Linked DNA regions of Caenorhabditis elegans. The protein of the gene in region 2 interacts with the protein of the main gene of each other region in a biochemical or structural test. Each region holds a gene or a part of one and is shown on either strand. Other genes may lie near its edges.

Region 1 (5,897 bases), on a different chromosome or scaffold from region 2:
CCTACGTGACTGTTGTTAGTTCTGTACACCGTTTTTCACTCACTACAGACTGATTTTCGATGATGTCATTGGCGTTTGGCCTGGCGCCAAATTTGAATTTCAGATAAATTTTAGAGAAAGAGGACACAGGAAGTCGTTCGAATAAAAAATCAGGTTCGAATTTTCTAGAACAATAATATCAGATGTAAATAAACAATAGAAAAAATTGCGATGATGCAAAAGATTTCGCAATACTTTTCAAAAATTGAATTCTGTTTTTAAAAAAATGCTACAAGACTACCGTAAGAAGTCACTTTTTTAAAAGTTTCTTAGTTTTCAAAAAATAAAACCAAACATTTTTGCCTAGAACAGTTATGTTAAAGTGAACTATGAACTGTCTAGAGACGACTGGATCAGAACAAAAAAAGCTAGAGAGCAAACAAGAAAAGTTGGTCAAATAAACGAGAAAAGGTTTTTTTTTGAAAAATCAATAGAAGTGCTAACGGGTTACTGTAGATATACGGGTTTTTAAGGAACTTGCAGAATTGAGTCGAGAAATCTACAAAAAAACTATTGAAATTGGGAGAAAAGCGAGAATTGCGTGAAAACTAAAACAAAAGTCAGTTTCGAGTGATTGAAATGCGACAAAAAATCATGAAAAAGCGAGAAAGCTTATACGAGTGAGTGAGAATATAATTCTAGATAAGGGCAACTAAAACATTTGCCGAAAATTCGAGTTCAAACTTGCTATCAGTGAGAGTTGAGAGTGCTTGGGTCAGGTGCCTGATTGAACTGGAATTGAAAGAAAAACATACATTCAAAGGCGCCTGACAATCAACAATTCAAAAAAGAACTCCGATTTCTGGGCGGTCCAAAACCGCAAAAAAAATAAAAGACAATTGATTCCAAAAACAGTAAACACAAGAAGTTAGTTGTCGTGTTGAGGTTACCAAGTGAAAAATGGCGTCAAAAAACAGAAAGAAAGGCGATTTCCAGAGACAACGAAAGAAAACCATCGAAACAGTGCACTCGGTGTCCTTATTTCTCTAAGTTCTCTACGATTTGTGCTAACTTGCCGCCATGGAAATGATGACAAATACGAGAGAGCGCGCCGATAGAGTAGATCACAAGACGAGGAGAGATGGCTGAAACTGTAGACACGCAGGGTGTACGAGAGAATGCTGGAAAGCGCATGTCCAATGGGAAGACGCAGAGGTAAAAAAATTTTGTGACCGCCGTGTCTATTTGCCTGAACACAGATAGACACAGACTTGTGGAGATCGAAAATCGCAACTTTTTGATCCGAAATCTTGGTGCGCGGTAAATTAACGTGCGCAGAAAATTGACCAATTAAATGAAAAACTAGAAGAGAAGGCTGCTGTGGGGGCCGTAACGAAGTCAACGAAAGCTGATAAGACCAGCATTGTCGCTCGCCGCTTGCACCAAAGACGACGACTACAAAACGACTACACAACGGCAGGTGAATGTTGTAGCGAGAGGGCGAGTGCGACCGAATTGTTGCAGGCAGGTAGTAGACGGTGGGAGGTGAAAAACCGAAGATCTGGAGAATGTGTGTGTGGATGTTGATGCAATTTTTCATAGCACGTTGCCCTTAAATTCTGATGAATCCACACAGAAGTAGTACAGAGCAGGACTGTGCGGAAAAATATTTCGGCAAACGTACAAAAATGAATATAAAAATGTAGGAAAATGCTCGCTCAATCTGAAAATGATATGTATTTTTGTTGGAAAAGTTTGAAAAAGACTTTCAATTGTGCCGTCTTTTAAAAAGTTTTCAAAAAAAATTTTTTTTTCAAACCGAACGAGCATTTTCCTACATTTTAACATTAATTTTTGATTCAAAAAGTTGATATATTTTTCGAAAAAAGTTACAAGTCTAGTACAGAATACTTTGAAAAACGATTGAAACTGAAACTCACGAAACCGAGAGAACAGTTTAAAACAATTATTCAATAAACTTAATGCTTGGTGGTACTGCTGAGAATAAAAAATTTGTTTTGATTTAATTTCTTCTCAACGCCTAATTTCAAAATGCGTGCTGGTTTTCACGTTTCCAAAAATCCAAGTTTTTTTTTGGAAAGGAACCAAAAATTCAAAAATAAAGCATATCAGTTTGAAGTTTGTGCCAAGACTGATAAGAAATATATGAGAGATGCAAAAGATATCACTTGACGAGAAAAAGAAAAGATTTTCGATATTCTAAAAAAGAGAGGTTTGGGTGCACACGGAAATCGGATACATCTACAATTGAGCTACAACTGAATTATTCAAACCACCTGCGTCAGACATGCATGGGAAAATTGAATTATCCACACACCTTCTTCCCTGTTGATATGTGATCAGAATTCTTCGAAATCTTGGCTAAAAATAATTATGATACTAAACCTGCTACAAACCACGTGTTTTTATTTTTATTATTACTACAACAAAAATAAAAACAAGCGCATAATAGTCTGATATTTGGTTGAAAATCTCAATTAATCAGAACATATCCTGTTTATTTCAGGATATTATGATCAAAAATCGCGAAATTTAGAATATAGTAGTTCCGTCGGAACTCAAAGAACTCAATCTTTCTGTTTGAGTGTACTGTGAGTTTGACATCATATTTGGCTGTTTATGAATTCTCGTAGAACGTGATGTTCAGAATTATATTTCTTGACCTCAACCGTGAAAACGAATAGGTTCAGCATGTCAAATACATTGCAATTCAATTAGAATATAGTAGAAGAAAGCTTCTACTCATATTCTGTCAATAAATAATCATACTTTCAATTTTTACAAATCGAAAGCTGTGATCCGAATTTCAACTTATACCAATTCCTTGATCCATTGCGTGCAAAAACCCAACTAACCATGTCAACCGCACCCATTCACAATCAGACCACAGATATGATTCAAGTCATTTTTTCGGTTTTAAACGTCTCATTTCCAGATGATATCATCTTGCACCGAGAGCGTCAATTTAATCAAACGGTTTGATCAAACATTGTACGTGGTGGTGGAAAACCGTTGTTGATAGTCGCTGTCGGCGTAGCAGAAAAAGTTCGAAAAATCAAGAGCCTCGTGGGGTGTCTATCAGGATGGTAATGCTGCTATCAAGCTGGCATATAGGCAATCGGGGGTTTGCGATTTTGGAGCGACTCCGGCAAGATGTTTGTATAATATACATATATGGAGGACAATGTACAGACAGTAATATTTTAGGCTAAGTTTAAGATTGAAGAGATTGGAAAATATCTGAAAATCTGATGATCTGGCGGAAGAAGGATTTCGGAAGGGAACGGTCTTCTTAGCGGCTCTGAAATACAAAGATCACGCTTTCCATTGTTTTCTTGAATTTTTGAAATTCTACTTTTCAGAGGACTTCGACTTCGTCCTCTGGCATTTACGAACATAGTCGTTCCGGCATCATTATTGCAACAGAGAGAGAGAGAGAGAGACAGAATGAGCCGTGAATAGTTTCAGACAACGAGGCAACTGTGACATTCTACATGAGATAGTTGGGATTAACACGTAACAATGCGGGAGACCTAGATAACGAGAGTGATGTGACTGAAGTGATAAGAGGAGAAGGTGGTCTGATATGGAGTTTGGGAAGGAAAAGCTGTTCAAAGTAAATATGTTACGCGGTCTTTGAGAAATGATCTATAACCGGGTGTAAATAAGAAAAAATGTTTGAATTTGAACTTGAAAAATCATATTTTTGAAAACTCGACTCTCAATTGTGGTGTATTTTCCCTATTTTAGTCTACTCGAATTAATAGAAACTTCCAAGAATAATATATAGGTAGATGATGAAAAAGCTTAAAAAAGCTAAAAATAGGCTCCACTCAGATCTTGGTTATTCTTTTAGTTTTTTTTCTTGTTTCTGAAGAAATTAAGTAATCCGTGAAGAGAAAAGCCATGTTTAAGGTTAAAGCTGGAATTTTGAGCCAAAAATCTTGGGAAAAAATCTACAAATCTTAGTTAAAGTTGGATTTAGAACATGAAGAAAACAAAAATTGTAAATGCAAGTAATATTGAATCAGAATTGCAAGAGTTGACTGGAAAAGTGATACGAAAAGTCATGCTCTCCCGTGAAATGATGATATTCTTCAGGTCTTTTTACTTGATAAAACCAACAAAAAAAAAACTAACCGACACTCCATAAATTGACGTCGTCTCTTCTTCGTCGTCGGCTACCGAAGAGAAGCACTGTCTTCGTCTTCGTTTATCGTCTCGTCTCGTCGCCGACGTACTTCGCTGACGGCGTGATGAACCGCCCATCGACTGACTGGATTATGATAGATCCTGTGAGAATGAGTGGAACACTTCTCTCAACAATATTCGGACACGGACTCGCGGCTGAGTGACCAGAGTCCGATCGACGGAGGAGAAACGCGTGAACGACGACACGAGGCCTTCTCTGCAATATTTTGAGTTACAACAATTTTTTTTCTAGAATTCAGAAAACGGGAATTTTCGGAATTACAAGAACTATTCTAGAAAAAACTAGAAACTTCGTTTTTGGGGAATTGTATTGTCTACAAAAACCTACAGTATTTTTTTTCAAATTTAATTAAAGGAGGAATATAGTTTGTGGGAGGTTTTCGCTTAAAAAAAACTAAATCTGGCACAAAAGTGCCGAATTTCATAGTGATATTTATTTAAATAATTTCAAAAACGTTTATGACTGGAAAAATCGAAAAAACATTCAAATTTTCCACACATTTTGGTCGAAAATAAAAAAAAAACGGTGTTTTAGCTTTAAAAAAATCCAGAATTTAGCAAAATTTGGACCTTATTTTTCGATATTTTCAGTTATACATTTTTCGAAAATTTTGAGGCAATATTAGTAAAATCAGATTAAAATAAGTTTAGTGGTAGGAACTTGATTTCACAGTTTCAGAAAATTTTAATAATCATTAAACCAAGTAAAGCAACAAGAAAGAGAAAATAAATTAGGAAAAATTCAAATTTTAGATAACAGAATTGGTTTCAAAACCAATCAACAAAAAATAACAAAATTTCCTCCACAAGACTGCAATAAAAATCTTTACTTTTAATATATTTACATATGGTACAAGTTTGGGGAAAAGGCAGAATTCCAGCAGAAAATTTGAAAAAAAAAACTAGAAATCACAATGAAAATTGAATATTTTTTAAAGAAGCGTCCCTGAGAAATTGAAAAAAAAATTTCTAGCGTTGAAAATGTTATTCTACATTTGATCCCGTGAAATCACTAAATAGGCGATCTGAGAGCATCGCATTGAGCACACGCAGCTTTGAGATCTGTGAGCATTAGAGCCATTGCACGAGTCCATCGAACATCTGTGTTGAGTGTCATAACTGCATTGTATTTGACACCATTGTCAACCAGTGAATCAGCATGAATTTGATATGGTGGTTTGAAATTTTTGTTTCGATCCTGAAAAATGTATAAAAATTAGGGTGTTTCTGAAACCAAAAAATTATAAAATCGATCTTTATACCGGAAAATGAATATTGTAAATCCATTCTTAACGAGATGTGAAATTTTACAGTTTTGCTCCAAAAATACTTTAAAAAACCCGATTTACTCAAACTCATAAGGGATCGTGCGCCTTTAAGGCCTACGGTATTTCCCAACTCCTCAAGTGTTCACCCAATTATTTAAATAAAATTTATTAAAAAACATGTAAAAACACGCCAAATTTCGTAGAAACGGGCGGAAAACTAGGAAAAATCACTCTTTTTCACTAGTTTCTTTCAGATTTGGGTTGGTTTTATACCTTTTTAACGTAAATCGGTTGAAAAATGGGAGTTGGGAACTACAGTAGGCCTTAAAGGTGCACGATTTTTTTGAAGTTCAGAAAATCTGTCTATTTTTGTATTTTTGAAGCAGAAATCGCATAAACTTTTGCAAATGGGTAATA
Region 2 (10,055 bases):
ATCGAAAATTTTCAGAAATTTCCGTTTCAATTAAAAAAATTAATTGGAAAAGATGAAAATTAACAGTCGAACTTGTAAATTTAAGTAAATTATATAATATTAAACGAAATATTAGAAGTTTTATTAAGTAATTAAACGCCTAAACATTAAGGCTCAGACTACAAACTACACAATTTCTGAGCCTCAACCAATATCTAAATGAAAAAGAACATAATGAAATGGTTCAAAAGAGTGCAAAATGTGGAATCCACGTGTATTTCACACACACACACACACACACGTTTCAATCGAAATTCTTCTCTTGTATGAATAGAGAGAGAGAAAGAGACGACGAGAGAGTGTGCCGAGCGCAGAGACCGCAGACAGTGTAGTGGAAACTGCGCTCTATTTCTTTTTTAGCACACACTCGTACACTTCCAATAACCAACCAGTCATTTAGCAAATATTTGGAAGAAAAAAAACTCGTGGAAATTTGGATTTTTAAAGATTTTCAAAGGTTTTTTTTTTGGAGTTTGTAGTCGAATTTTTCTACGTGGCCGTGAAAATGGAAACCTCGGCCATGAATTTTTTTCTTGAAAAAAACCAATTTTTTGTACTTTTTAAAGAAAATTGCAAGAAAATGTATAACTTTTCACAATAACTCGCTTAAAAAAATAAAGAATTTGAAAAAAATGTAAATTTATTGAAAAATTCGTAAAAATTATTAAATATTAACCAGACGTAAAAAATTGTGATTTTCGCCCCAAAAATACGGTATCCGGTCTCGACACGACAGTTTTTGTTAAATACGAAAAGGTGTGCGCCTTTAAAGAGTACTGTAACTTCAAACTTTTGTTTCTATGCAATTGTTATCGATTTTTCTGTCTTTCTTTCGGTAAATTGTTTAAGTTTAAGTGTTTTTATTGTAATATTTGAGTTTTAAATATGCTTTTACCAAAAAAAAAACCGAAAAATCGATGAAAACTCCGCAGCAACACAAGTTTGAAACTACAGTATCCTTTAAAGGCGCACACCTGTTCGTATTCGACAAAAAATTGTCGTGTCGAGACCCGGTACCGTATTTTTTGCGCAAAAATAGCAAAATTTCATAAAAATCCCGGTTTTCGAAAAAAAAATCGTCGATTTCGCTCTGAAAATCTAAAATTTAAAAAAATTTCCAATTTTCAAAAACTAAAAAAACTTTCATTTTAAAGCCAATTCCAAGCGGAAAAAAAAAGTAATTTTCGTAGTTTGTAGTCACAAAGACTACAAACTACAAAACCACCACAGCCTCACCATTTATGTTCAGTAGCAATGTATAGTAAATTTCAGCGCCAGCGGTTCAAAATGAAAAATATTAACAAGGAAGCTTCTCGTCTCTTCAAAGGCGCATCGGACAAATAAATGACTGTTTAATGTCCAAAGAAGAGGCATTATTCGGAGATGCGCGCGCGGGGGGATGATCATTATCTCGAAAATCTTCAGAAAAATCGATCCACTTTTATTTCCAGGAAAAAAAATGAAAATAAAATGAGAGAGAGAGAGAGAGACGGAGAGAATTTGGATGGTGTGTGAAATTTCAGTTGGTGGTGGTGGTAGAGTGGGGAAAAATAAAATATTTTTAAAATGTAATGAATTGGGGGGACAAATACTATATTTCCAAAAAATATATAAAAAATTTCCACAAAAACAGGGACATTGGCGTTGTGGGGAGACACTTACAGAGCAAAAAAAAGAAAAGAAAAAAAGACAGAAAATATGGGGGAGAGAGAGAGCAGTTTTCAATTCATTTTTGGCTAGAAATTTCTTTAGAGGAGAGCGTGGGAACACAAAATCGGGATTACAAAAGAAAACGGCGGCGGAGGGGGAGGAAATGTACAGAAGTCGCGGATTTTTTCAGGCCTTTGGGCCTAGATGAAGTCCTAAAAAATTGGGCCTCAAAAATTAGGCCAAAGGTTTAAAAAACCCAAAATTTTTGGCCTAAAACCCAATTTTCAGCCAAAATTTCAGGAACCTTGAAAACCTAATTTTTAGCCAAATTTTCACAGAAAAATCCAGGGGGGAGCCAGGTGGGGTAAAAAAAAAAGAGTAAAAATTCAAGTTTTTCGAGACAAAAAAGCTTGAGGGGACAATAAAATAAAATAAAAGAAGAGCAGCAGACAATCGAGTTGGGGGGAAATGCTTCTACAACACAGTTGCTATGGAGACGATACGGGCGATGGAGGGGGGTGGGGGGGGGAGGGCTCAAAAGAAAAAATAATAATTTTTTTCTTAATGATGATAGGTATGGAGAGAGAGAGAGACAGAGAGAGAGGAGAGGATGGATGTATAAAATCAATGGAAAAGAAAAATCCCACGGAAAATGAAAAAAAAAGAAACATTCGAGAGAAAATTCAGAACCAATATTAAAATAAAAAAAAGAAGTTTAAGCCGATGGGCCAGCCACATCACCGCTTGTCGTTGAAACTTCACCAGTTCCCATTGGACCGTCCATCTCAAGTGTTGGAAGAGGTCGACCAGATGGAAGACGTGCATCCGGGTTTCGGAGCTCATCAAAGAATGCGTGCTGGCAGGCCTGAAAAAGACGAAAAACATATATATATTGGTTGAATTGTTAAAGTAGCGTGAATTGGGGGCGATTTTGTCTCTCAAAAATTTCAAAATACAGTCTCAAATTCAGAAAAACGAGCAAAATCGATATTTTTGTCCATTGTGAGTTCCAAATTCCCCATGTTTGAATCCACGTGGAGTCAGAAAGTCCCATTTTGATTTGATCTACGAAAAATGCGGGAGATGAGACGCAAACATCTCAACTGATTTCACATGGTTAAAAGCGTGCAGACGTTACAATTTTTCTGGGAAAAAATTCCCGCATTTTTTGTAGATCAAAACGCAGACAATTCCCTCCAAAATGCAAACTCCCCAATCGATCAATCAACGACATCGAACTCCGCCCACTTCATCTGATTGGTTGAAAAGTGGGCAGGACGAATCGCTGATTGGTCGGGAAGTTCTCGTTTTGGAGGAAATTCAAAATGGAAATTTAAAATATACTAGTTAGTCACAATAGGGAAAATCGTGTTTTCGAAAGTTGAATTGTTCATTTTTCTCGATTTTGCTCGTTTTTTGTGGTTTTTCTAAATTTAAAAGTGTTTTCAAGCCAATTTTCTAATTTTCAACCATCATACCACGTAAATGTCTCCATCTTTAAAATTACGAGAACATCATAATTTTCTGGAAATCTCATTTGTAGTATGGCCTCTAATATTCTTGCAGTTGACATTTAGTTACTAGTTTCAAAAAATAAAAGTACGGATAAATTGTGAGCCGAGTTTTTTACTGCTCACTGCTTGTCAGCGAGTTCTATAAAAATTCCAAGAAACATTTCTTTCCAAGTTTTAGCTGAAATTTTGTTAAATTCAAGTTGAAATTTCAGTGGGATTTTCAATTTTTATGTCTATTTCAGATTTCACTAACTTTGAATTTATAGCTTTTTTTTCAAAATTAAAAACCACGGTTTCACAAGTTATCTTTTTCCAAAAATTGGAAAAAAAAGCCAAAATTCTGCAATTTTTTTTGTGTAAAAATCTAATGCTCCCATCTGCTTCCATAAATATCTTCCATATTCGTGCCAATTTGAGAAATCTAAGAAAAAAAACCGGGAAATGGCTTGATCTATGGGAGAATTACAATGAGGAAACAAAGATTTCAACGATAGATATTAAGGCGATTTTCAAAAGCAACCAACGAACGGGGTGGACTTTCTAAGCGGTTTTGTGAGGGGGCGATCGAATTTGTGAACAATGAAGATACTTTTTTTTGGAAAAATACAGATAAAATCATTGAATTTCGTTTCAAACTGGCTGCTTTTTTTTTGAGCGATCGAAAATCTGCAAAATCTGCAATTTTCAAAATGGAGGAAAAATAAGCTGACCGAATGGCCGAAATTTTTTAAATAAATTTTCAGTCAACTGTCTAATGTCTCAAAAATCACACTCAACTTTCTCTTTTTTTTTCATTCATATTACGGGAACCGAAAATTCTGAGAAGAATGCGTATTACACATCATAATTGACGCGCAAAATATCTCATTGCGAAAACTACAGTAACCCTTTAAATGGGTACTATAGCTCCGTGTGGCGATTTACGGGATTGATTTTCGATATGAATCTATTCTATATTTTCCTTCGTTTCTTCGTATTATTGTCTCATTTTTTGATTAATAAATGCAGAATAAAAATCGAGCCCGTAAATCGACACAAGCGCAGCGCTACAGTAGTCCTTTAAAAGGTTACTGTAGTTTTCGCTACGATATATTTTGCGCATCGAATATGTTTTTTTAAGGATTTTGTGTTCCATAATAACTTTTGTGAGCAAAAATTCGCATTTTTTGAGAATAAAATTACAGAACATTCGCTTTCAAAACCGAAAAACAAAAAAAAAGTCCATTTTTAGACAATTTCAATAATTTTTTGACACAATTTTAATATAAGTTTTGTTTTTCCATTTTCAAGTGTTTTTAAACGTTAAAAACTACCGGAAATCAGTTTTTGACATTTTTTGTGCAATTTTCGCCATTTTAATTATCTCGATAAAAAGTCGAAAAATTCAAACTTCCATTAATTTTTAGAGATTTTTCTCATAAAATTGTAAAATAGCCAAAATGATTAAAATTCCTGAATTTCGCAGTATTTTTTAAACTTTTGGGCAATTTTCTCAAGTTTTCAATGACAAAAAATCAATTTTTTTCAATTTAAAAGGTTTTTAGTTGAAAAAAGAGTCGATTTTCAGCAATTTAGTGTTGGGAAAACATTTTTAATTCATTTTTCGGCCTTTTTTCTACAAAAACCCCCAAAAAACTCACCGCTTGAGGTGTTGGCCGAGACGTCGGCGTATACTCGATAATCTTCGAAATGAGATCAATCGCTTCAGCAGGCGTGTGTACACGGAATACCTTATTCCATGGATGTGCCTTTATCTGTGGAAATTTGAATTCCTTGTAGTTCGGATTCATACTTTGAATTTGTTCACGAGTCGGTGTTCCAAGAACTTTAATAATTTCAACGAGTTGATCAACTCCAGAGTCACCAGGGAAAATTGGTTGGCCGAGAAGAAGCTCTGCCATTACAGTTCCAGCCGACCAAACGTCAATCGAGTTCGTGTAGTTTGTAGCGCCGAAAATGAGCTCCGGAGCACGATAATATCGCGAGCAAATGTACGAGACGTTTGGCTCATTGCGAACCAAATATTTGGCAGATCCAAAATCACAGAGCTTAAGCACTCCGCTTTCCGGGTCAATGAGCAAATTCTGAGGCTTAATGTCACGGTGACAGATTCCAATGCTATGAATGTAGGCCAATGAACGGAGAAGCTGATACATGTACAATTTGACATAAATCATTGGAATTTGTTGTCGCTGCTTCGAATAGTGCCGGGCAACTCTGCAAAAATTAAAAATTTCAAATAAATTTCGCAAAACATCAAGTTTTTTTGTTTAAAAATCGATTTTTCTAAATTTTTTCAATTTTTACATAATTTTTTCCATAAATTTTAGTCAAAAATTGTCAAAAAAAAATTTCTAGGTTTTCAACTTGAAAATTCAAAATTATAAAAAAATAGAATATTTTCAATTTTGTAAAGAATTTTGCAAAATTTCAAGTTTTTTTGTTTTAAAATCGTATTTTCTAAATTCCAAGCTATCAGCCATGTAGTTTGTAGCCTTTCTATACGTTTGGAACGCATTTTTGAACTTTTAAATAGCTTTTTACATAAATTTCAGGAGGAAATTCGTGAAATAGTGCATTTTAGTCAAAAATGTTGCAAAGAAATCTGCTTGAAATCGCCCTGTAGCGCTGGAATTCGGGAAAAATCAATTTTTATCTTAAAAAATCAAAATTTAGCGAAAAAATTCAATTTTCGAACCAAAATTTCACAAAATCGACGGAAAATCAAATTTCCATGAATTTTTGTCAGAAATTAACAAAAAAGGTTAAAAAAATCAGGCATTTTTTGATTATTTCCTTTAAAAATTTACATTAACATCATTTTTAAACAGTTTTTCACAAAAAAAAACATAAAAATTCAGCTTTTTATTGAATTTCTACTATTGTTTTTCAAAATTTTTAAAAATATCTTTAAAAAAGAAATTCGCAATTTTTATTTAAAAATTTCCAAAAAAATTTTTTTTTTCAATTTTTAAATAAGAAATTCTCTTTATTTTTGAACAAAAAAATTCCGCTAAAAACTGAAATTTTCCAGAAATTTTTAAAAATCCTAATAAAAATAACCTGTAGACAGTTTCAGGAACATATTCGAGAATCAAATTCAAGTAGAGTTCATCCTTCTTCTCGCCGCTCGAATAGAAAAAGTATTTGAGCTTCACGATATTTGGATGATTCAATTTTCGCATAATCTGTAGTTCACGATTCTTGAATCGTTTGTCCTGAAGAACTTTCTTGATTGCAACCATTTCATTTGTTGTAGAGAGTTTGGCAAGGAATACCACTCCGAATGATCCATTTCCAATCACTTTCTGATCGTAGTACGAGATTTCAACCTACAATACATTTTTTTTTAATTAAAATTTGAATTACAGTGTTTTTTTTCGTTTGGAGATTTTTTAATAATAATTTTTTCACATTTTATCAGCTAGTTTTCCAGCAAATTTCCTTTTTTTTTTTTTGAAGAAATTGATATTTTAAGTGCTTGAGTAAAATCGTGTACTCCACGAGGAAAAGGAGAACAATTTTGTCAACCTATTTATTACGTGTTTATCCACAGATGAGAAAAATCGCCATATCTGCCGCGCAAATGAACCCGCGGGAAGAGATAAAACTACTGTAGTTTTTAACCAATTTGTGTAGATTTACGAGCTATTGCGTCATCGTTGAATTTAATTTGCAGGCGTTTTTCTAATTTTTTTGTGTTTTCTTTTAAGATTTATTCAATAAATAGATAAATTTCAATATAAAAAAGAGTGAAACACGCCTGAAAATTAAAAATTGCGGCTCAAAATTAAATTCAACGATGACGCAATAGCTCGTAAATCTACACAAATTGGTTAAAAACTACAGTAGTTTTGTCTCTTCCCGCGGGTTCATTTGCGCGGCAGATATGGCGATTTTTCTTATCTGTGGATAAACACGTAATAACTCATTTATTGTGTTGTACTAAATATCGAAAAATATATTTGTATCACTTCCAAAGAGTTTTTTTTTGTGAAAATCCTCATTTTCATGCATTTCCACCAGAGGTGGGCGGATATTTTTTCGGATATTTTCTAATAATGAATTTATCAATAAGTATTGATGTAGTTATTCTGGAAGAAATGTATCCGAACAAAAGAGTAACTATTAAGCAATCGGATATTACGGATATTACGGATATCGGATAATGGACTTGCATATCGTTTATACAGAAAACTTGTAGAATTTTTTTAGGTTTTATCATATTAAAATGTTGCTTAATAGTTACTCTTTTGTTCGGATACATTTTTTCCAGAATAACTACATCAATACTTATTGATAAATTCATTATTAGAAAATATCCGAAAAAAATACCCGCCCACCTCTGATATCCAACTTCTTTTCATCCAAATTTCTCCGAGAAAATTAAAATTTCCTCACTCAAAACCAACCTGCTGATCAACACCATCCGTGGCGACTGACGCGACGACCATCGTCACTTGTTTTCCGCTTTTCAGCGAGCACGATAGTAACTGCTTATTCATCACACCACACTACTGATTGATTTGATTCTTGTGTGTGTGTGTGTATATATGAGCTCTGTCCAATAAATGAGAAGAGCCAGAGATTAGATGATGAGGATATGATGTGGTTTTTTGAGAGGGAAAACGGAGAGAATGAGGCTATTCACCTGAAAATAAAAAATAATAAAATATTTCATTTGGGCGTTGGGTTTGAAAAATACGAGGAAACGTATAAAAATGGGTGATATTTAAGGCAAATATGAGGTGAAATGGAGTAACATTTCAAAATTCGATAAACTTTTAGGAATTCCTAGCCAAAGTGGGAACAGGGGTGGGCGGCAAACGACTTTTTCTGGCAAATCGGTAAACCGGCCAATTTCCGACGAATCGGCAATTTGTCGAATTTGTAGGACTATTAAAGAGCTGTTAAATATGGATTTCGCCAAAAAACTTTACTGGAAATTAGACGATTTTTGGCATTTTCAGCCCATTTTTTTAGGATTCGCTTCAAAAAATCCAAAATAGTCGTAGGGGAGCTCTCATTTTGGAGGATATTCAAACTAGAATAGAATTTAGCCAAAAATTGAAAAAATCGAAGTTTTAAAAGTAGTATTTCTCAAAACTTCTAAAGTTTTTTCTAAAGCTTAATGTAATGTTATTAGCTCGAAAAAGTTGGCTAACTCACTGTAATAAAAGGGAAACGCCAAAACTGCCAAATTTTTAAATATAGAAATGAATTTTTTGAATTTTAAAATTAAAAAAAGGGAAGTAAAATCTAATCCGACACGTTTTAATGTACGTTTTTTTCAAAATAAATAAATACATATTCATTCGAAATTGAATTTTTCTAAATTTAGCGGCAATAAAAAATATATTTCTAGAAGAAACTATATTTTTGGTACTTATGGGTTTCGTTCCCCCCAAAATGATTTTTAATTATTCAACACTACCTTTTTAATTTTAATCCACACGTTATTGTTTATTTTAATACTGTTTTCATTTTTACAAGGCTTAGAAAATCATTTCCCTAAGCCTGGGAATGAAAAAAAAGTTCACGTATCAATTAGAAAATATGGAAATCATTTTGGGGGGAACGAAACCCATAAGTACCATATTTTTTGATTTGGAATTGATATAATTGCTATTTTCGTAAGTATTTCAAAATTCTGACTGAATCAAAATAAAATGCTTCAATTGCTCATCTTAAAATAGCATGTAAGCCCATTTTGCTACACAATTTCAAGAAATTTCACTAGCGCGATCGAAATAACCAGTTTAATAGGAAATTACTCATATTTTCAACGGAAAATGCTCAAAATCGCCAAAACTCACCGCTTCTCACTAACGATTGAACGAAAAATGACTAAATTTCGGTGTTGTTTTTTTTATTTTAAAAAACTAATCCAACACGTTTTAAAAATAAATAGAATTGCTTTTTATATAAATACAAAAATACATTTTATTTCAAAATTGATTTTTTCCAATTAAATTTCGTGGCAATAAAAAGGTACGTATTTTTTTAAAATGTTGTTCCTTGGGAAAAATCAAAAAAGATTTTGGCTAAACAGGATTCTATATTGATCGTAATAGGGAATATATAAATATATATACCGGAAAACTGGCAATTGTCGTTCGGAAAATTGTTTTCCGGGAAACTGCCGGTTTGCCAGTTTGCCGGAAATTTTCATGTTCGGCAAATTGCACAATGTCAATTTGCCGAACATCAATTTGCATATATGTATCTTTATATATATATATATATATAATATATATGTGTCAGTCAATATGAGGGGGTGGAAAAGAAGGAAAAACAGCTAAAATTGAGTGTGGTGAGCGAGTGAGCGCGAGCGCGTGTCTGATGGAGGAAATGGGCAAAAATATGGTGAGATGGAGAAGAAAAAGGAAATGAAAAAGAAAAAAGAAGAAGAAGAAATGCGCTATCAATGTGGAAATAAGCATATTCAATGTTCCCATGGTTTCTATTTTCATTCTATACTGATTTTATATTTATTTTTGTATCGGAAATGTTGAAATTCGGCAATGTCGGGAATGTCCAATTAAGGGTGGACGGAAATTTGGCAATTTTTTTTGCGAACTTGCCGGTTTGCGGATTTGCCGGAATTTTTCATTCTCGGTAATTTGCCGATTTGCCGTTTGCCGGAAATGTGCCGTTTTGAAATTTTTTCCCGTTTTCTTTAAGTATTTTCATAGAATTTGCTTACTGTTCAAAATAGATATAGGAACATTCACAGAATGGGAACAATTTTGCCGATTAAAATTTAAATTCTGAAATTTCCAAAAAAAATGTGCGAATCCGCAATTTTCCAAAAATTTTCGGCAATTGCCGTTTTTTCGGTACATCGGAAAT

What was found.
Region 1: of the proteins of gsk-3 (region 2) and skn-1, one has a biochemical effect on the other in vitro, tested with the Caenorhabditis elegans proteins (2 studies listed by BioGRID).

Annotation. Positions count from the first base shown.
Region 1 is NC_003282.8:5,656,116-5,662,012, forward strand, and holds the start of skn-1 (Protein skinhead-1), read right to left. Parts: upstream 4,270-5,897; coding exon 4,141-4,269; intron 1,451-4,140; exon of another isoform or gene 1,301-1,450; intron 1,256-1,300; exon of another isoform or gene 1,203-1,255; intron 1-1,202. Other genes in the region: bec-1 (Beclin homolog), read right to left, coding at 5,225-5,410. UniProt on the Caenorhabditis elegans protein: Transcription factor. Required to specify the fate of ventral blastomeres in the early embryo, and postembryonically for the development of the intestine. Directly regulates expression of zygotically expressed med-1 and med-2 to direct mesendoderm development.
Region 2 is NC_003279.8:12,817,015-12,827,069, reverse strand, and holds gsk-3 (Glycogen synthase kinase-3), read right to left. Parts: upstream 7,855-10,055; 5' UTR 7,709-7,854; coding exon 7,616-7,708; intron 6,536-7,615; coding exon 6,267-6,535; intron 5,421-6,266; coding exon 4,844-5,420; intron 2,952-4,843; exon of another isoform or gene 2,898-2,951; intron 2,555-2,897; coding exon 2,405-2,554; 3' UTR 1,468-2,404; downstream 1-1,467. Other genes in the region: nhx-8 (Sodium/hydrogen exchanger), read right to left, coding at 1,276-1,278.